2 linked regions of the Rhinolophus ferrumequinum genome follow. The protein of the gene in region 1 interacts with the protein of each later gene in a pairwise test. Links are inferred from orthologs where the notes say so. Each region holds a gene or a part of one and is shown in the gene's direction. Other genes may lie near its edges.

Region 1 (11,047 bases):
GAGATTTGGGGAAATTTTAAAATATTATCATTAATGACAGAGCCTAAGAAATTTAATGCCTAAGAGCAAAAAAATATTTTTTTTTGTTACTTCACACAATACTTGTTGAAAATGAATGGTTGTAAAACGTGATTGCATCCCTCTCTTGTCCTATATAGAGACAATAATTAGTAAACCCCGGTGGGCTGCTGGGAGTCCCTGGTATATTTTCATTCTCCCATGAGTTACAGGGGAAGGAATTCTGTAGAGTAGCATGGTGTGAAGAGGAGCCAGATGACCAGGCAGGCCAGGGGTGCAGAACGAGACAGGAGGGCAGCCCTAGCTCTGCCATTTACTATTCATGTGAGCTTGGGCAGGTCATCTAACCCTTCTGGACGAAAATGATAGATCCAGAGCATGAAGTATCTTTATCAGGCGCTTCGTAGGGTCCCTATTGATTTTAAAATTTCATTATCTACCATCTAGTTTTAGACTAACCTCAAAAATACCTTGGCCAGTTATGTTTGCCCCCAAGCAAATCTTCCTCAAACCTGTTTTGTGGAATTCTCCAAACATGTCTTTTCCAGTTCTATGTCCACTGCTATGGCCCTTAGAGCTCCAGCTTCGGGGCGGGGGGGGGGGAAGGTGGGGGAGAGAACCGAGAAGATATGTCTGTTTGTTCCTTACTGTGAATGGTAAGGCCCCTTGAAAATAATAAAAATCCGTTTAGTAAACGTAAGCTATATTTCCAGGAGTACTGAACTATTTTGACAGTCCTTAAGAGTAAAACACAATTTTGATAATGCTAAAATATGCATTGTGATTACCTCTGGGGGCTGAGAATTATAGATGATGTTGTAATTTTCTTCTTTGTATTTTGTTTTACAACCAAAAAAGTATATTTTTTAAAACCTTAGGGCACAATATGAGGCATGTAGTTAATGCCACTAAACTGTGCCTTTAAAACAATTAAGATGATGAATTTTGTTATGTATATTTTACCATAATTAAAACATACAAAGAAAAAATCCCTATGGATACATTAAAATCATATGGTATTCATATTATTACCAATTTGCATAAAATCAAACAAAGGCAGATGATACAATAACTACTATGCAATATGTCAGATTATAATGCTATTTAAATTAAAGAACACAGTTATTTAAATCTGGTAACTCCGGGGCCAAATTCATGTTTTACCAAACACTGAAGTTGGGTGTTTAAATGTTGATAGTGGTGTGAGGGAATCAGGTCGTAGGTCATACTGGCTCAAAAGAGCTAGTTACTAGCGTCTCTTCCCAAAGCTATGTTCAGTGGCGTCACATTGGTAGCTGAAAATCAGCCATGGTGGGAATATCTACACTCTGGAAACTGGCAAATGTTACAAATCAGAACTCCCCCGCTGCCCCCAGAAAACCAGTTTAAGAGCACACCACTGTTTAAATAATACATATATCTATCAATGGACAGAAATTTACACTAACAGAATGTTTAAAATCAACTCCCTCAACTCATTTTATAAATTGAAGCAAATGTCATTGAGCACAGTGAAAAGTGAATAGCAGGACTAGAATAAGAACTTCAAATTTCTTTCCATTATATCACAAAAAAAGATTGCCTTAAGTCTGATATTGCCTTCTTCACTGAAACTGCAAGATCAACTTCTGAATCTTTCCGGAGGCAGGACGTCTTCTCAAGTCACCAGCTGCTCCAATTAGTACTAGTTTTCTGTCAAGGACAACACAGTGGTCTCTCTGTGTCCTGCCAGAGAAAGACTCACAACTTTAGGGGAAGAATTCGCCTCCTCTCTAATCTTTGTCATAGAAATCACAGAATTAAAGGAGCTTGCGGCAAGAGGAAAGGACTTTAGATATGATCTAGTCCATTAGTTAGACTGGAATATTCCAGGCTGCTTGGCGGGGCCATTAACACCAATGTCAACATTCCATCCACCCAAATTGTTACACTTGGGTCCCTTTCAGATTAGGTCTCCCACAAGCCACATGCAAATGGCACATTCAGAAAGGAAACTATCTTTCAATTATAAGATTCCATTCCACTTTAGTGAAAATATACCCGACTCACATCATAAGTTTCTTCCTCGTCATCAATGGTATTTTCTGAAGCTTAATATGTGTAGGTTTTATGATTGAACTTTACGTTATCATCAAGTCCTCACAATGGCCTTTGGAGGTAGACACTATTATCATTAGCATTTTTTCAGAGGCTTGGGAAGATTAGGTACCTTTCCAATGTAACACAAGCAAGGAAATTAGGAAACGACCCTCCATCTCCAGGCAGCCTGACCCCATGCCCACACTCTACACCACGACACCACACAGCCCCCTCCAAGAATGTAGATACATTCCCATTACACCCAGACCCTGGTTTTCCACATATGGCTCTCCTATGATGAGGTCTGAATCTCCAGGTAACTTCAGCAGACTGCACGCTTCTTTGCTGAAATGGCAGGTAGTAGGCATTTAGAGGATACAAGCTAATTTTTGGTAATACTAGCCTGAACACAGCAGAATCTAGCAGACAAATCTTAGAGCATAAATATTTATAATGTTACCTAACTGTAGAGGAAATCTAGTCTATTTATAAATGGAAGGTTATATTCCATGCCTCGGAAAAGCTTGGTTTTGAAGCGCTATTTATTTGGTGTTTTCAGTTTGGTTTTGTGCCTCAACATCAAATCCCCACACTTCCAGGAAAAGGAGGAGACTCTCCCAGCATGAATTCCCCACCTCTTATCGAAGCTAGCTGGCATCAGTAGGCATATGAGGTCCTTATTTGTGGACTTCAGAATGATTAGATATAATAACCAAAGATTATCATCATTGCACGTGTCTTGCAACTATCTGTGGACCTTGTTTCACTGAAGAAGAAAAACATCATACAGTAAAACTTCAATGAGCGGTCTTTAAGGAAAGAAAATTAAAGCTTGAGAAAACTGTCAACATCCCCCAGGTGTCAGGGGTTTGAAAGTCAAATGCAGGGAATGAGAACAAGCGAAACAAAGCAGGCAGACTGAGGCAAATGACAGAGTTCAGCCACGTCCCGTGGAGACATTACTCAGTACTAGCGAACTATTGCCATACTCTTGCCAGATCTGATTTCTAGGCAAGGTCAGATGATCATGTTTTATATAAAATGTTTAAGAAATTTCTACTTATAAAATATGGCAAAGGCCAAACAGGACATGTCAGCAGGCCAAATCCAGCCTCGTATCTCTTCAGTTGGTAGAAGAGGAAAAATGTCTAGAGGTGCCAACTGAACTTACCAAGTGAGGGAACCCAGACTTGTTATTCTTTTTTCTATGTCAGACTCTACAATCTCTATTTATAAAGATATAATATTGTGACCTATTGGAGAGCATTTGAAAAATGAGATATTTCCATCATGGATGGTCTTATTTAAAATTGCCTGCTAGTTGTCAGTTTTTGTCTTGTTTGGTTTTGTCTTTTCATCTCCGTTTCTGTGGAAGGATATAAAAGGTCTCTGCTACCTTTAGTTTAGTTGTATTTTAGTTGTCATCATAGAGTATTCATTTTTTTGACAGTGGGTATGCTCCTCTTATATTTACATAAATATATGTCCGACTCCAGTTGTTCACCTTTGATCGCCTGGTCTTTGTTTCCATTTTTACCCATGAAAATGAAAGTTGTGGCAAAGGCCAGAAATGCCTTGAGCAGAGGCCATGTCTAAACAGTGGAGGGGGTCAAACAGTGGCAGCTCTGCGCTTGCTGATGTAGACTGCTGCACCGCAGTCAACGGCCATTATCTTAAAAATAGATAAAATTCACATTTGCTTCCAGTGGTCATGTGCCATCAGAACCTTATTCCTCTTTGAACATAAAGTCCAAACATAACTACTAGCATATCTTGAAAGATCTAGTATAGGCAGATCCTATCAAGAAGTGAAATTCAGGTGGCCAGCCAAAGCTGAATCCAGCGCTCAGACAGCTTGAGGTTGTGCCTCCCACCGGCCTCTGTAGTTTAAAACTTGAATACCCCTAGGGAGGGCATGAGCACTGCACTTTTCTACCACTCTCTGCTGCTTTCTCTCCCCATCTTGTGGTTTTATTTATCTTTCTAACTCTTGGAAGGCATTTGTGTTTGTGACCTCTGCTCTAGATTTTCATCAATCTCATCTTTAACATAATTTTTTTATGATCGGAATTAACACAACATCTTACATAAGAGTTGAGTCAATACTCTTTCAACTATTTCTGAGCTGCTTCCCATAGATGGTAGTGGCTGCCTAAATGAAATAACCATATCACCAGATCACTGCCGTAATGAGCCAACTCATCTCCTTCTGCTTCCAAAGTATCGTCCGCATGGCCATCAAACTCATCTTTCATCATTTTATTCCCATTACCTACAAGGTAAAGCTTGAACTTCCCACTGGCATTCAGGGTGCTTCATAACTCAGCCTCCATCTAAATGATCAAAGCTCTCCCCCGACCTCCCAACACAAGCTCTCCACTCAATGCACACACCTGACCATGCCTATTTATTTGCTCCTGAGCCCCACTCCCTTCCCTTTCTGCCCTCCCAGAGCTCCACTCAAACTCCACCTTTTCCATGAGACTTTTCTAAATCAACCCAGTCTCAAATAATCTTGCCTCCTTTTAAATGTAAATGTTCAATAAACATTTGTTGAATAAATGAATGAATGAATGATGAATTCTAGCATGACCACAGTCTTATGACCACTTAATTATGGACAACTTGCTTAATCTTTTTAGACAGAGCTTCATCATCTGTAAAAATGTGGTTTTTGACAAGAACTAAATGAGATGTTATTATGAAATTATCTAGCAGAGATACTACATACACTCAAAAGACATTAGTTATACAGAGACTCAAGAAATACTGCATTTCTCCCTCTTTTGTTGTCAGTTAACTTTACAATTGTGCATACTGTCTCTTTCTAACTGCAGTATTGGACGAACGACCCATTTCTTAAATTTTTCTTTGTATCACTCACCGTAGCTAGCATGGAACCTTGCTAACAAAATATTGTTGACTGAATACTAAGAAAGTTTCTCTATTGAAGAATATGTCCAGCGACTGGCTGCTGACATTGGAATTTCCTCCTTTACAGACATTTGGTTCTAAGTTAAGCATTGCCCCCAGTTAAAATCCAAACCTTCCTGTGAGATAGTAACATATTATGTTTCATTAATTAGGAATAACTGTACTGATTAGACATTTTTGTTTACAAGGAGCAGGAACTGCCTTGCAAGTTGTTACATTTATATGAGGTACAGTGATGAGTTTGTTTAATCCAACACTTTATTATAACTTATTTAATGTCATTCCAACATAACTGCAACATAGAAATTAGGGGGAGAAGAGAAGTACAGATATTGCACTATCAAGGAAGGAGAAGGAAGGAAGCGAGGAGTGGTGCACCATCGGAATTGTAGCAAGAGAGCACTGGGAACCAGGGTGACCACCTGTCACGGTTTGCCCAGTACTGAGGGGTTCCTAGGATGCAGAGTATTCAGTGCTAAAACCAGGAAAATCCCGGACAAACTGGGGAAAGTTGGTCACCCTGTCAGGCACCAGTAAAATCCCACCGAAAGACATACTTTGTCTAATTTCAAAAGGGTGCTTCGAGTACACTGCACACCAGAGCAGCACAAACCTGTCTCGAGCTGGTTATCAGCTGACTAGAGCAAAGGGCTAAACAGGCCAAGGCTAAAGGTTTGATTTCCTAGGAAACTTTGCTCTCTTCCACAATCAGAATCTGTGTACTTCACTTCAGCCAGCCGTTCTCCAATGTCACTGACTAAACAAAAGGGGAACAAGGAGAGAGAGAGCACAGCTCCTGTGGGCCAAATGTTTCACTGCTGCGAGTAACATTAGAGGGACCCTGTTTTCCTTGCGCATGAAAATGAAGCGGTCGAAGAACAACACACACAGAAATTCCCTTTCTGAACTTCCTGCTGACATGGGTTCTAAATAATAACAATAATGTATAGCATATTTGCAAATTTCCACAGCATAGTCTGGTATATGATTTCATCCTAATTCTAATCCTGTGAGAAGGCATGGCAGATACCAAACTCAGCAGGGTTGGGATCACCCATGGTTACCCAACCAGCAAGCAAGGGCTGGAGCCCTCGCCTCCTGGTGTTTTTCATTTGTTTGCCTTAGTTGTGGTTGTTGTTTTGACACAGGTCACAGCCTCCTGTAATGCAGCAAAATACACAACATTCAGGTTCCCTTGACGTTGTACAGATTACTTCCATAAGAACTCCAAAACTCTTGGTCCCAACAACTAAGCATCACAGCCTTAAAGCTCCTCTGCGTCTTGCCAAACGTGACATACAGGTGGGCTGGTTATTTCCTGTATGTACAAAGGCATAAAGCACATGCACAGTTTTCACCCTGGTGGTCAGGCCCAGGGGATGAGAAAACGTATCTCTGCTTTTAATATTTAGGGACTGCCAGACTCTGCACCTCATTGTTTTAAGTCTTTACTTTTTCATAGACTTTTCTGCCCACATCCGCAGGGTTGTATTAGTAAACTGAAAGCTGAGTTTCCCTAACACATTTATTTTTCTTTTAGAGTAAATGTGGGAAGGATGAAAACTGCCCTGTGTCATACTTACATGTTACTCATTAACTAACAGCAAAAAAAAAAAAAAAAAGAAAAAAAAAATAGCCTCAGCTACTTTAGCAGTCATGTGAAGAAAGAGCTAGAGCTTCCTGCAATGCGAGAACTGAGCAAAGCCAGAACGCAGATTTTCACATTGGGGAAATTCAGAAATGAGCCTTTGAGCTTAGTTCTTGAGTTGGCGATCGACAAGTGCACAATGGTGAAGAAAAGGCTGCCTTCCAGTGACACGGTGTTCCGGTTTGAGACTCCAGGCAGCCCCCGGAAGGCCCACACGGAGGCCCAGCACAGCTCCACCGACAGCCCCGGCTCAGTCTTTCTCAGGTGGGTACATCCCGTCTGTCTCCCTCATGGCTTCTGCTACCTGACAGGTAGCCCTTAAAGAGCTCCTTCCTCACTCCCTGAGGTAGCAATGTGCCAAGAGGAAAGAGAAGGTACAGCCTAGGCATCCGGGCCAGTGGTTTTGAAGACAGTACATTGCAAGGGATGTGATCTGCTGAGCAAACAGAACTTTAACACCATTAAGGGAAAATAATTGTTAGTGCTTTCTTTAGGGTTTTTCAGTACTGAGTAAGTGGCCAGCCATACAGTTGCTCAATTCCTAACTCACTCTCAGGTGGATAGGAAGCGAAGCCGTAACTGAACCAAAAACAGTCCTTTGGCGTCAACATTACCTGTATTATTATTAAAGTAGTAATTATTAAAATATTAAAACGATAGCACTCTTTTTGGCTTTCTAAATTAAATATTTAAATAATCCTAGTTCAATGATTTACTGTACAGTGATTTACAGCAGCACTGCCCAGATTGAGAACGTATCCTTTTTAGCTGTAAATATTCCTATCTACATCAATACTGCTTGGATAAGTACATATTTTAATGAAAATTCATTTACCAACTCTTTTGATTTCGTCTCATAATAATTACCTGGCAACTTACAAAAGGTAGAAACAAAGTGCAAGTGGAAATCAATTACAAGAAAAAGTTTCTCATCGACTTTGATGTGAACTGTAATGTACGTTTCATGGAAACGTCTCAAGGGAAGATAGAGGAATGGCCTCTACACCTGAAGTTTACTTTTATAGCACCATCGCCAGGAAGTTAATCATTTGTTTTACTTTTTAATCATTTTAAACCCTTTACACAAAAAAGAGTGCTCAAAATTAGAGCTTTTACAAATTAAATAGAAAGCAAAGAAATCCCATTTCATGTCATAGCAGGCACACATCAGAATGTCAGGTTATGAGTACAAATTAAATAAGTTTTTAACGTTTTAGAGACCGTTGCTTAATACATTGAAAGATAGTTTTGGTTTTTCCATCCTTCATTAAAATGAATTTCCTTAACTTGCACTATGACTGTTTGAGCAAGAATACAATTTCTGTGATCGAAAAATGTAAAACTCTTGCATTATTTCCATATTTTGCTGAACTTTGAGTATTTCTTGAATTACTTTGTCTGCGTTGAACATCTCTTTTGTAGAGTATAATGTAAACTTCTCTTGGAGTTCAAGCTCTAATAAGAAAAAATTAAATTAAATTAAAATGCATTAATTAATTAATTAATTGCACAAAGTACAATTTAAATAACATAATACATATTATTTAAGCAAGTATAAATAAATAGAATAAAAATAAAATAAAAACCTAAATCAACCTAAATTCAAGCCTCTTTCAAAAAGATCCCAGGCCTGTTTCACCAGCATATTTAAATATTTAACATCAAATCTCTATATTAATATCTGTTTCTTTTTTTAAAATTTGTTTTACAACCAACCTACAAACACTTCATATCACCAAACGGTTTGGACATTGGAGGACTTTTAGTCTAGTTGAAAGATCAGTTTAATCTATTGCACATAAAATCATTGAAAATAGTTTGTAGAAGCATTTAGGTATGTGTTGGTTAATTATTTGAGGTCAAAAATAAGACCAGGTAAACACTTCCCTTTACCTTCTAAATAAATATTAAGAATTATGTGGCTGTTGTGGTATCCCATTATCCTTTCCATGAACTACAGCTAGTAAAATGTACTCTCAGATCAACAAACTACTTCAAGTAGGCACAGATACAATTTATGCAGTGCTTTTATTCAATTATTCAATTCAACAAAGATTTATCGACAAACTATTACATGCCAGGCTATGTGGAAGGCACAGGGGATCCAGTCATGAACAAGTTAGACCTAGTCCCTGCCCACCTGAAGGCTATCAGTTTAATGTAAAAGACAGGCAAAAGGAATTATGAATCCATGCAGACATGCATACATAATTCAGATATTAATGTATGTTATTATAGGAAATAGGGCTGAGAAGGAGAATGAGATGGGGGAACTAATTTAGATGGGGTGGCAAATGAAAGACTCTCTAAGGAAGTGATATTTAGGCCAATTTAGAGGATGAAAAAAGAGCCAATCATGGAATGATTGGAAGGAGTATGTTGCCCTAAGATGGGGAAGATCTTGTGTCTTAAGAAACTTGGGGAGAGCGGCACCCAATGAAACCGGAAAGATAAGCCAAGGTTGAAGGCGTTTAGAATTCTATTCTAATTGCAATGTGAAGCCACCGGGGGATTTAGAATAAGGGAGTATCATGATATGATGTTCATTTTAGACGGGTATTCCGGCTGCCCTCTGGGTTATTTCTAGTTTTTATTTATTCGAGCAATGCTATGTCTTGCCCATGTCTCTAAGGTACGTACCTAAGAGAGGAAATGCTAGGTCATAGATTACGGACATGACGTACTTTACTCACTATGTCAAATTAGGTTCCAAAGTGCTGTGCCATTTATGCTACTGACGGCAGTAGTCCCACTGCCTCAGCAACAAGGGCTTTCTCTAACTTTTTAACTTTTCTAGTCTGGAAGGTGTGAAAGGGCATCTCGATGTGGTTTCAATATGCATTTCCCTTATTAATACAGGAGGAGCATCTTTCCAACATGTTTATTGGTCATTTTCGTTTCCTCTTCTGCAAAATACTTGCTGATGGACTTATGACCTTTTGGGACAAGAGAGGGGGGACAGGGATTACTATCTTTTCCTTATTTTTAGGTAGTTTTTAAAATACTCCAGATACTGATCTTTTGTCAGTTATATGTGCTGCAAATATTTATCCCTGCATATGACTGTTCACATTCTCTCTCATGTCCAAGTTCTTATTTTTACTTTGTCAATGTATTAATTATTTTATTAATGACTTGTATTTTCTGGGACTTGTTTAAGAAATCCTTTCCTATTCTGAGGTCATAAGAATGTACTTGCGTATTTTTTTCTAACAGTATGTTTTCCTTTCAAAGTAGGATCCTATAAAGGATTTGGAATTTATTTTTGTTTCTGGTGTGAAATAGGGCATCATTTTAATTTTTATATGGATAATAAATTGTCTCACATTATTTTTTGAATAGTCTTCCCTTTCCCCATTAATCCGCAATGCTAGCTCTGTCATATATCACTATCTTCATGACTATTGCTTCATAATAAAAATTTTGTTATCAGATATGACAAGACTCCATCCCTAGTTCAGAAATGATTGGCTACTCTTGCCCCTTTGCTCTTCCATTTAAATTTTAGAATCAGCTGATGGAATAAAGATTTTTTGTGATTGAAATTGCACTGAATCTATTGCTCAATTTGAGGAAATTTGACATTTTATGGTGTTAAACATACCTATTCATGCACATGGCATGAATTTTTTTTAGGTCTTCTTTAATATGACTTTGATAAAGTTTTAGAATATTATACATAAATCATTCTTTAGATTTATTCGTAGGTACTTCACACTTTTGTTGCTATTAGAAATATATTTTTAATTGCATTTTCTTTTGTTGACGTTATACAGAAATGTAATTAAAATTCTAAATTTACCTTACATTCAAAATTCTTGCTAAATCTTCTCATAAATTTTAATAATCAATCTGTAGACTCTACAAGGTTTTCTTTGTAGGCAATAATATTATTTGAAATAATAAAAATTTTGGGTTTACCTTTCTGATCTTTACTCCTTTTAAATCTTTTTATGTCATGACACAAGCAAGCAACTCCATTATAATGTGGCGTATAAGTAGGCACTCTTGTTTTGTTCCCGATTTTTAAGGAAATCCTTTTAACATTTCAGATTTTATCAGCTTTTCTCAGGTTAAAAGAGTTCCCTTTTCACTGAGGATTTAAAAGAGGTTGTTGGAACTATTGAGTACTTTTCTAGCCTCCTCTGAGATGATCCAAATTTGAAAATCTCTGATATTCATATTAGCACAGCACCTCAACATTCAAAATTCACAAGAAATCATCATTTCCCAAAAAATACAGAAAAACATTGGGTAGTCTTGGAAAACATGAATTTCTGTACGCTTTATATGCAGACTGGAAAATGCTATGGTGACTTAATAGTTCCATAAATTAGTCATTCAGCAATCAAAAATCAGGAATTTCTA
Region 2 (11,201 bases), on another chromosome or scaffold:
GCAAAAACAGATTCATTTGCAGGAAATGAAAGGCTGTACCTATGTCTCTGTATTGTGTTTTAAATAGAAGTAGTTTGGGAAAATGCCATGTTTTACACCATTTTAAACTACAATTAAAAAAAAATTTTATTGGGGAATATTGGGGAACAGTGTGTTTCTCCAGGGCCCATCAGCTCCAAGTCATCCTTCAGTCTAGTGGAGGGCACAGCTCACTGGCCCATGTGGGAATTGAACTGGCAACCTTGGTGTCAATGAGCACAGGGCTCCAACCACCTGAGCCAACTGGCTGCCCACAAAAACCAATTCTAAAAGCATAAAATTGCAGTTGAAAGCAGTTATCTCATTTACTTTCTGAAAAAGAGCAAAATGAAAGTATTTGGAAAAATAAAACTGCTCTTAAAGTTGAAAAAGGAAGCTAGAGGGAAGCATATATAGCATTGGTATATAAAGTGAACTGTGTTATGATTTATTAGAATATGGGCATATGTTGGGATTTTGTAATTTACTGGCTTAATGATTTTAGTTTGTCGAGGACAGAATGTCCTGTTTTGGTATTGGAGATATTATTTAGGATTGGGGTTTCCAGAGATCCTGTTCTTTTTTGTGGGTTTGGGCATAGGTTTGAATAGCACATGGAGCACAAAAAAGTCCCATTAAGACAGAATTGGACACTTGCTGGGTATTACTCATTCCAGGCACTGGGAACTTGACTTTAATTGCCAAGAAGTATCCATGCGGTCAAGGACTAAATGATTATTATTTAAGTTGTGTGTTACTCATTATTACGTGTTACGTGTGGAGGTGAAAGTTCAGCCCTTACCCTTGTCCCCATAATGCTAGGGGAGGGAACCCAAGAGTAACGTGAAATATGGATGAATGAATTATCAAACATGCTATGGATTACACCGTTGTCATGGTCAGTTCTTCACTTCCTCCTTGCTGAGAAACTAGTGCTAATTCTGACCAGGTTTGATTCTGGAGATTCCCTTCTGGGTATTCCATGACATCACTTTCCCGCAAAGGCTGAGACATCACTTATTTTCACCTCTGTCCTTTTCTCTGTTCAAGGCTATAGCGGGCATTTCTCCACAGGAGCTCACATCTTGTATGATCCTGAGAACGGCTGGGGGTGCGGGGTGGATGAGAGAGGCTGTGATTCTTGTCCCCTGTTGGGTCTGTGGTCTCTAGAGCTCTGGGGACTCCTAAAAGTTAACTAGCCTACAACTGGTTTACTGAATGAGCTACACTGGTTAGCAAGCATCTGTGTGATTTCGCATCATTTCCCCTTCAAGCCTGCTTTCCTTTTTTGTTCTTCCTTACACCTGGATGGAACCTCAGGCAGGTATTACAGCTTTTCTGATCACATTGTTATTCCCCCAAAATCCAGTCAAAATAATCACAAAAGTGCAGACTTTCATTGAATTAGCATTTCTCCCCTTGCCCAGCCTCAGTCTTGGAAGTATGAGATGGTGGAGGGAGGGTCTGATTTTTTGTCACATTTTTCTCCCTGCTCTCCTCCTTACTTCTACCCTCCCCCACACCAAACTGTACCTCGCTCCAGGTGGCAGAAAGGAGTTCTTTGCTTGGAAGAGTTGAAATCTGGTTTTCATGATGTCAAGGTGGAACATGTTCTAAATGCCAGTTCATTTTTTTAGGTGTGTTTTGGGGGTTGTTAGGAGACCTGCATTGTGTGGATCTCTCACTGGCCATTCTCTTGGCACAGACAATGCCTCCTCTGGCTGTCTGCTTATGGGCTTACCTCAGCCCCTGCTTTCCTGTGGTCTCACTGCACACTCCTCCAGGTGGTCCTTATCGATACAGCCCCTCTTAATCAATTACGAATAGCTTCCTGCCAGGGGGACCCCAAGTCTGGTCCATTGACAAACATCTTTTTCCCCACCAAACTCTGAAAGAGCAGATTTTTGCCTTTGAATTTTGCCTTTCTTCCCCATCCTGCTGCCCCAAGGCAGTAGCGAGCGAAAGTGTCTTGCCTTAGATTTCACAGCCCCTCCTTTTAAATAGACTATTTTTTAGAACAGCTTTAGGTTCACAGCAAAATTGAGCAGAAAGTACCAAGAGTTCTCATATACTCCCTGACCGAGCCCTCAGCCTCCTCTAGTACCAGCATCCTCACCAGAGGGGTGCATTTGTTAAAACTGATGAAACTACATTGACACATCACATCCGCCAAAGTCCATAGCTTACGTTAGGGTTCACTATTGGTGTTACACATTCTATGGGTTTGGACACATGTAAAATGACATGTATCCATCATTGGTATCATACAGAATAGTTTCACTGCCCTAACATTCCTCCGTGCTCTACCTTTTCATCCCTCCCTCCCCTATAACATCTGGCAACCAAGCATCTTTTTAGTGTGTCCATAGTTTTGCCTTTTCCAGAATATCGTATAATTGGAGCCATACATTATGTAACCTTTTCAGGATGGTTTCTTTCACTTAGTAATATGCATTTAAGTTCCTCCGTGTCTCTTCATGGCTTGATGGCTCATTTTTTTTTTTAGCGCTGAACAATATTCTATTGCCTGATGTACCACAGTTTATTTATCCATTCACCTACTGAAGCCCTTAGACTTTTCATTCACGTGTCAAGTACCAGACTTGATATCTCTAACTCCAGGGACATATACCAAACTTTCTGAATCGTTCCATTAAGGCCACCCGAACTTAATATGGTGAAGAAGTGTGGTAGGCAGAGTAATGACTGTGAAGATATCACATCCTCATCCCCGGAACCTGGAAGTATATTAAGTTCTATAGCAAAGTGTAAAGAAGGTTGCTAACTAGCTGATTTTAAGATAGGGAAATGATCCTGGATTATCTGGTGGGGCCCAATGTAAGAGTCCTGAAAGTGGAAGCCGGAGGCAGAAGACTAAGTGTCAGTGATGGGGTGTGGTTAAGAACTCCAACGGCTGATGTTGGCTGTGAGCCAAGAAGTGGTGGGATTTAAAAGGGGGAACAATTTCTTAAAAGAAGGGGATTTTTGGTATCAGAAATGGGGATGGGAAGGATGATGGGGAAAATAAATAGGAGCTATCCCATTTGATACTTATATAAATATACACAGTTATAGTTAGATACAGCTATGGATATAGATGTAGAGATATATGTACCCAGAGATAGGAAGAATGAACTGGTATATAGCTTTTTTTTGTTACAGTAGGTAATTTTTTCTTTTTGCTTATCTGGATTTTTTTCTCTGCGAATATCATTATTTACATAATAAAGAAATAAAAGATTTAAAAAGAACTACGCATACCTTTTCCAAGAGCCCTTTGTTACTTTTCTGACACGCATTTGCCTTTCTCACTAAGACCACAGGCAAGCTCTCTTTGACTTGCATAGTTCAGAGCCGCTCCCTTTACCTGAAATTCAGCGACCCTTCCATGCAGCCAGATTGCCCACCATATCCATACCATAATACTTAACTGATGGCACCAGACGTAAGGGCTTATTCTGACCCATTGTCACTGTTCCAGAGGAACCTGCTTACCCATGATGTTCTAAAAAAGAGGAACTCATTCTTAGGTTCAAGGGAGACCTGGGGAGGCTCCCTGCGGTCTCTGTGCTCCTTTTCAGTCTTGGGAGATTCTTCCCTTCTCCCTAGAATTAAAAAAAATAAGCATTTTTTTTCCAATAAGAGGAATGCTGTTTCCGCAGGCAGGGTCTATCGGACTTTCTCCTTGTGCCTGGGGCAGAGCAGGCATTCTCGGGGAAGGGAAATGAGTTGTCCCACCCACCACTCCTTTGTGGGTGTCTCTGCCTTATCCTCTATCCCCAAAGCACACATCCATAGGGTGGGAAGAAATCTTTCGATTATCTGGGGTCTGCTGGTCAAATCTCCCGTCACATTGTATTCTCTCCGAGGCCTGTGGCCAGCCTGACCAGCTCTAATAGCTCCTTTCTCACTTCATAGTCATTCTTCCTGTCTCCCAGTTCCCTCTCCCTGATTTTTCTGTCCATTCTAGTTTCTTAACAAGTAGGTCTCTTTTCCACTCTCATTGATTATATCCACGGCCCACCTTTAAGCATAAGGTGGGTCCCAGCCAGAGAAGGGAGAAAGTTGGCCAAACTGTTTCCTTCCTCTGCCCTTATCCAGAGAAGGTCTTAGAACCTCAGGAGTGTGACTAGTGGGGAAACAGAAAAATGATCACGGACTTTCCTTTTCTCATTACAGCACTGGTTTTTGGTCAGTCCTGATCTTGTCCACAGTTCCTCCTCTGTTTAGAAGAACTGCCATCTCCTGCGTGTCCAGGAGAACTGCTCACTTTTCTGGCTGGCAAGTGTGCCTGAAGCACTCGTCTCCTGCTCTGTCCTTTCTCCTCCAAGACTGTTAGGTCAGGGGCCTGATAGAGCCCCCAGAGGGATGCACGGGAGGGTTGCTCGTGCTCAGTAAACAGCTGCAGATGGGCCTGGCCATAGGAAGACAGCATGTGACTCACTCCTTCCTTATGAATGGGAAATGAAACTCCTTATAGCTGGGACTTTTATACCCACTGTTTTTGAAATGCCACAGGGCCACAGCCCAGGTTTCTGGTTGCTTCATGTTTAGCTTCCTCATGCTGGATCAGCCTTTTGCCCAGAAATCAGCAAAATATCTATCTGAGGCCTCTATTTCTATCACTTGGATAAATGCTCCCCAACCCCACTCCCTCTTCCACAGTGGGCGTCAGCATGGTGAGACTTCTGGATTCTTTTCTGGGACCAATGAGAGGGCATGCGGGTTTTCCATCAATGACTCATGCTACCAATCAGCAGAGGTTTGGGAAAAGTCAACATTCTGACAGAGAGGAAAGGGGCCAGATACCCCCAAGTTGTGTTACGTGGCAGCTTCTCTCTCTCAAATGCCTCAGGAAGAGACCCAGACCCCAACGGGGTCTTGAGTAACTTGGATTCTTTTCCACTCACAGGCCCTAGACTATGATAAGTTGTGAACAGAGGGCCAGGAGCCAGGTACAGAAGGGCTGAGATGACTAGGGTTAGACTGGGTATCAAGCACGAGAGTCCAGGAGCAGAACGTTCTAACCAGGGGAACCAAGGCTCTGCAACTAGATGAGCAACCTGAAGAAAACAGGTACATATAGTGATAAACGTTCACATAGGTGGTGAGTCAGAGTGAGGTCTTCAGTTTGCATGATTAACTAATGTCAAAGGTTAGAACAGACAGCCGTTCTGGAAGCTATAGACAGAATGTGGGTAGGGAGGAGATGAGATAGGATGAATGGGATACCATCTTTGTTACCTAGCTTCTTTCCCAGCACTTGGGAAGTGTGATGTGGAGTCCTCCCTGGGTTCTGTCACCCAGTCTGAGAAGCAGCTCCATTCTGAGGCCTCGTCAGCCAGAAACAGAACAGCAAGAGACCTGTAGGAACTGTGGGTTGGCCAGACAAGGCTGGGCTAAGCAGGGAGGTAGGATTCTCCTAAATGCCCCCTGAAAGTCTAGGTAGCTGCTTCCTTGGCCCTGCTCATTTAGTTTCTAACCCAAGTCCCTGACACTGCTCTGCCATCCAGCTCTACTGGCTTAGTCTCAGTAAGGCTAAGCTAACTTTCCAGTCCCATGGCCAAAGTGTTTTTTGCATTTTGGGTAAGGTGTCAATCACACTTCCCTTATACTTTTGCTATGAAAATGAATGAGAATTTTTGGAGACAGTGGGAAGAAGCAGTAGCTTCTGGATGATAGATTCCAGTCCACAGATTGTAGGTTTCAAAACTGAGAAATGATCAGCTAGCAATTCTTCCCTTCATTTATCTTTCATGTACCTATCCATTGATCAACTGATCGATTGATCGATCCATCCAGCCATCCATCTACTCATCGATCATCCATCCATCATCTATCCAGTCATCAGTCTTCCATCCATCCATCCATCCATCCATCCATCCATCCATCCATCCAATTCTCTGGACTAAATTCCTTTCCTTTTCTTTTTTGGCCCCGCCTCCCCCTTTCTTCTCTTCTCTCTTTTCTACCTTCCAAGAAATAGTTGTTTAGAATCTGTTACATACGAGGCTTCTCAGATTTGGCAGACTTCTTCAAAGCGTGAGAAGTGGCCCAGGAGGAAACTTAGTGAGCCCTAAATCACTGAGCCCTAATCATCTCCTCTTTGCTCTGAGGAACTCCCACATATGAAAGAACAGTTCCTGGTCTGATGTTGCTGAGCCTCCCCACTTTAAGAAGCTCACAAGCACAGGAAACAGGGAGACGAACCCAAGTCTTACACTTCAATTTCGCATCTCCAAGTCCCACTTCATAAAGGGGATACTGTATCATCTAAGATGCCCTAATAACAGAAAGTAGAATATTCGGCAATAAGTGGTTTCCTTACTGGTTTCCCTGCTTCCAGGTTTTCCACACCCTGATCTATGTTTCTCACCATGATCAGAACGATCTTTCTACAACGTCCCTGTCCTTATCTCTCCTGCCTGGAATCCTTTATTGCCTCCATGTCACCGATAAGCCAGAGTTCTAGCTTCTTAACATGATTCCAAAGGATCTTCATGCTCTGACCCCAGGTGCCTCTTTAGCTCCGTGAACTCGGCTCCTGTCCCACGCTTTACACTCCAACACCACCAAACTGCTTCCAATTGCCAGACACTCATGCTGTCTTTTAAATATGCTAATCCCTCTACCTGGAACTTTTTACCCTTTCTCCGTTCTCTTTACTTCTTTTGAACTGTGCGTATTCTTTTATTGTTATAATCATCACCCTGTATTGTAATTGATTTGCTTGGCTCTGTCTTTCCTTCTGGACTGTGAGCGGCTTGAGTGCAAAGACTGTGAGTATTTATCTTTGTGGCCCAGTCCTAGCGCCATATCTGGCACCTAGAAGGCACTCTGTATGCATTTGTGGGATAAAGGGATGGGTGGAGGGATGCTGGATGAGGGGAATAAAAGAAGTAGGATAGCCTTGGGACAAGATGGTTGAAGTGTCCATGTAACAGACTCCTCCAGAGAAGAAGACAAATGGCCTCTTCCTGAAAGCTCCGACCTTGGAAGAGAGGACTGAGCGGTGGCACGACACAGGCCAGAGAAGGTGTCTAAGGCAGGAATGGGGAACTTTGGGATACATGACGACCTCTTGTGGGACTCACTTCCCTTTTCCTGTAGATAAAGTTCCCTGGGCAGCCAACCAGAAGCATCTGTGCTGCAAGGGTGAAGGTGTAGGATGAAGACTGCAGAGAGCGAGGTCCCTGACGCACACTTCACTGTGGACAAACAGAATATCTCCCTCTGGCCTCGAGGTAAGCCCCAGTCCCTGCTTAGAACCCGCTCAGGGCTCCACGCACAAACCCATCACCCATCCCTTGCTGGTCCTTCAACAAATGTTCTCTCCTTCTGACAGAGCCTCCTCCCAAGACGGGTTCATCTCTGGTTCTGAGGAAAATGTGCACAGTCCGTGCTGCTGTAATTCTCCTGACGCTGGTCCTGCTCGCCTCTGTCCTGCTGCAAGCCGTCTTCTGTAAGTCCTCTGTGTGAATCAGCTGGGCTTGGTGCTTCTCCAGGGTCAGTCAGCTCCCTCCAATCCAGACCCTCACTCTCCTGCTCTCCAGTGGTGTCTCCCACCTATGGCGTTTTCATTGGTCTCATTTCTCTTCTTTCCACGTGCAGTCACAGGGTCCCTGTCCTCAGGAAGATGAGCTGCTGCTCTTTCCTTCCCAATTCTGGGGAGATTTTCCTAAATGGGATCAGCACTTGAATGCTTGTGCTCAAAGATATACTCCTCTGCCCCAAGGAAATGCTCACCTATTTCTTCATCCTGTGTCATTTTTGCCTCCCTCTCTGAGCTCTGCACCCCATTGATCCAGAACCTTGAGGGCAGCCCCCAACAGTGAATGAGGTATTTCCTGATCCCATGAGGGATGGAGTCCCGACTGTATCCTCAGTCCCAACCGACTAGATGGAGAGCCTGACCAAGCCAATACATCTCCATGGCTCCTCCCCTCAGCAGGACCCCTTCATGCTCTTTACATTCTCCTATTCCCGCGAGGCTCATGTCAAGGGAGACTTCCTACTTCTTCATTGGATGTGTGACTTATCTTTCTTCTTCTTCTTCCAGCTTTGTCAAGGCTTATAGCATCTGCTGCTGGCAGAGCCTTCATCTCTCACCAGGTCTACAGAAAACAGGGAGGGAACGTCTGTCTTCTGCCTTCATGGCCTCGGGACATATTTGGTCTCAGACTTTGAGCCTCTCAGCAGAGTCTCCTCTGCTTGGAGTCGTCTTGGTTTACGTTTGGTCTCCTCTCTGTCACTAAGCCTGTGGCCCAAGCAGAACGTGACAGTGGGAGGGATAAGGAAAAAGGTGAAATGGTTTCATAATTCTCCCTTTGCGTGTTCTCTGGATTAGAAGAGAACAGATTAGAAGTCTGCATGGCTGGCTCCTCTCATGGTCACAGAGAGCCTGTGGACAGATGTGGGAAGGGTGGTGCTGCCCACGCTGATGGCCACTGCAGGAGAGGGCTGAGAATCAAGTGATGGGGCCCGGGAGGATGTAGGGAGAGTGACAAGGGGGTGGTCGAGGGCATCCCTTTATCAAATGTGCCCTGAACACTCAAAGAAAGTTTTGGACTGGGTTTTAATCCCTGCTTCTGCTCGCCTGTGAAGTTCTCTGACAGAGGGCCTGTGTTTATCGATCTTTGCGTTCCCCACTCTACCAGGGTTCCTGGCACATGGGAGGCGTCCTTGCATGTTTGGTGAATGAAGAGATTATAAATGAATGGAGGGTAGGCAACGGCAGCTTGGGTTGCGTCCTTGGGAAGCTGGAGCTTGTCTCTTCCCTTCCCTCTTCTTCCTTGAATCACCCTGGTAACACCCCCACTCCCGTCCCGAGGGATCCCCTTGCCTGACTTCTGGATTTTTTCAAATCCAGATCCCTGGTTTATGAGCGCGCTGTCAGACGGAAAGACCAACGCGCAGTTGCTGAAAGCTCGTGTGGCCAACATCAGCTCCCTGAGTTCTGAAATTAAGAGGAACAGAGGCGGCGTGGAAGCAGCTGGCGTTCAGGTCCAGATGGTGAATGCTAGCCTGGGTCGCGTGCATTCTTATATCCGGAGGTTGGAAACTAGTGTGAAAGAAGCCAATGCACGGATCCAGATATTAACAAAAAGTTGGGAGGATGTCGATAATTTAAACACCCGAATCCCAGAGTTAAAGAGAGATTTGGATAAAGCCAGTGTTTTAAATGAGAAGGTCCGGGGACTCCAGAGCAGTTTGGAGAATATCAGAAAGTCGCTCAAACAGCAAAGTAAGTGACTCAGAAAAGAACATGGAAAACTGATCAGTGGCCCACGGGGCCTTGCCAGTCTCAGGCACGAGGCCTTTGGGTTGGTGTTTGTGGAGGCAAGCAGACGTGACTGCAAAGGCAAGCACAGAGGGCGCAGCATTGGGGTTAGGGAGGACTCAGGGGCTTTTCAGAAGAGAGGGAACCAGGGATAAGCTTGGGCTCCCACACAAAGACACAGACTATGAAGGCATTAGGAGTCGTCCTGGCCCAAACTGAGCCATTTTTCATTAAGTTTCTTACCTAAAGCCCAGGGGCTCAGCCACTTGTGATGGCCAGGGGAGAATTGCTTCTCTCTCATGACAGACAGATTCTTTTTTTTTTTTTAAACTTTTTATTTATTTTAAGGTGTGTTTTCCCAGGACCCACCAACTCCAAGTCAAGCAGTTGTTTCAATCTAGTTGTGGAGGGCGCAGCTCACACTGGCCCATGCGGGGATCGAACCAGCAACCCTGGTGTTCTGAGCACTGTGCTCTGACCAACTGAGCTAATTGGCCGCCACGAGAGACAGATTCTTGATCCATCCTCTCTCACTCTCCCCTCTCTGAGACCAGAGACTCTACTAATCTCAGTCCGACTTTCAGGATCTGAGACAGTGTCCCCAAGTCCACACTAGAACCCAAGGACCCCAGAGCCCAGCCCCGTTCACTGCTGTCTGTGGGATCCCACTCCAGTGCCCCCACTTAGCCAGAACCCAGAGAAAAGAGGAACACCAGTGTTCACATTTCACCCTTGTTCTCCAGATGACATTATACAGATGGTTTCTCAAGGCTGGAAGTACTTCAGGGGGAACTTTTATTACTTTTCTCGTGTCTCAAAGACCTGGTACAGTGCCGAGCAGTTCTGTACATACAGGGATTCACACCTGACCTCAGTGACCTCAGAGAGTGAACAGGTGAGTGTTGTTCCTATAGGCTCTAGAAAGGGGGTATATTAGTAGCTGTATCAGGCAGGATCGGAAAGATTATGTTGTGGTGACAAAAATCCCCAAATATTAGTGACCTAACAGTGAAGGGTTATATCTCACTTACACTACATGTGCAATAAGGGCCAACAAGGGGTTTTACTCATTGTGCTTACTCAAGGATTTAGGCCAAAGGAGACTTCATCTCAATGAATATTCCCATAATTGCTGAGGCAAGAAAAGGAAACATGAAAAATTGTATGTTGGCTCTGCCTAGAAATAACAAACATCACTTTTGCTCACATTTCATTTGCAAAGCAACTGACCCAATACTCCTAGCTTCAAAGAGGGCAGGGAGGTACAATCTTTCTGTGTGCCCAGAAAACAGAAATATTTGTAAACAGCGTTAACCATATTACACAACCCAAGAAGTCTCCTTCTTGTGAGGCAGAATATTGGACAAGCCTTTCATCTGGGAGGTGCTCTAGCAGCGCAGTTGAGTATGGGCTCTGGTGTTAGAGTCTAGAGTCCCAATCCTGCCTCTAAGTAGTCCTAGATGGAACACATATGACAATAGTTCAGACTTCAGAGGAAAAAACCATTTAAATGCATTTAAATGTATAGTGAGTTGCAAATATTAAGTACTTACTAAATTTAGCTATTATTATCTGGGCCATTCTCTTGGGGTTCTTGCTCTGGGGTTTAGCTGAATCTTTCTTGTGCTCCAGCACCTTCTTCCTGAGCGACAGAAAGGCCTGAGCCCTGAGTCTGTTTTTTACAGAGCAGAGACAAATCAGAAATTGGAAGATGGGATTCTGGGCAGGGACGGGAAGAGGCTTTAGAGGTCAGTGTGCCCAGTGTGTTTGTGGGCTGTCACTGAGGACAGGTGAAGACCCAGACAGACAGGTGCTACAACGGCAAGTGATGGCAGCGCCTCTGTTCATTCTGTCTCCCCTCCAGGAGTTTCTGTACAAAACAGCTGGTGGACTTATCCACTGG

What was found.
Region 2: the proteins of GRAMD2B (region 1) and CD207 interact in binary tests that used the Homo sapiens proteins (3 or more experiments, as listed by UniProt). The two-hybrid records come from large-scale screens. The link is inferred for Rhinolophus ferrumequinum from reciprocal best matches to the Homo sapiens genes GRAMD2B and CD207.

Annotation. Positions count from the first base shown.
Region 1 is NC_046290.1:87,165,648-87,176,694, forward strand, and holds the start of GRAMD2B (GRAM domain-containing protein 2B), read left to right. Parts: upstream 1-6,674; 5' UTR 6,675-6,716; coding exon 6,717-6,943; intron 6,944-11,047.
Region 2 is NC_046296.1:20,320,478-20,331,678, forward strand, and holds the start of CD207 (C-type lectin domain family 4 member K), read left to right. Parts: upstream 1-7,169; 5' UTR 7,170-7,186; coding exon 7,187-7,262; intron 7,263-7,363; coding exon 7,364-7,480; intron 7,481-8,887; coding exon 8,888-9,262; intron 9,263-10,041; coding exon 10,042-10,193; intron 10,194-11,162; coding exon 11,163-11,201. UniProt on the Homo sapiens protein: Calcium-dependent lectin displaying mannose-binding specificity. Induces the formation of Birbeck granules (BGs); is a potent regulator of membrane superimposition and zippering.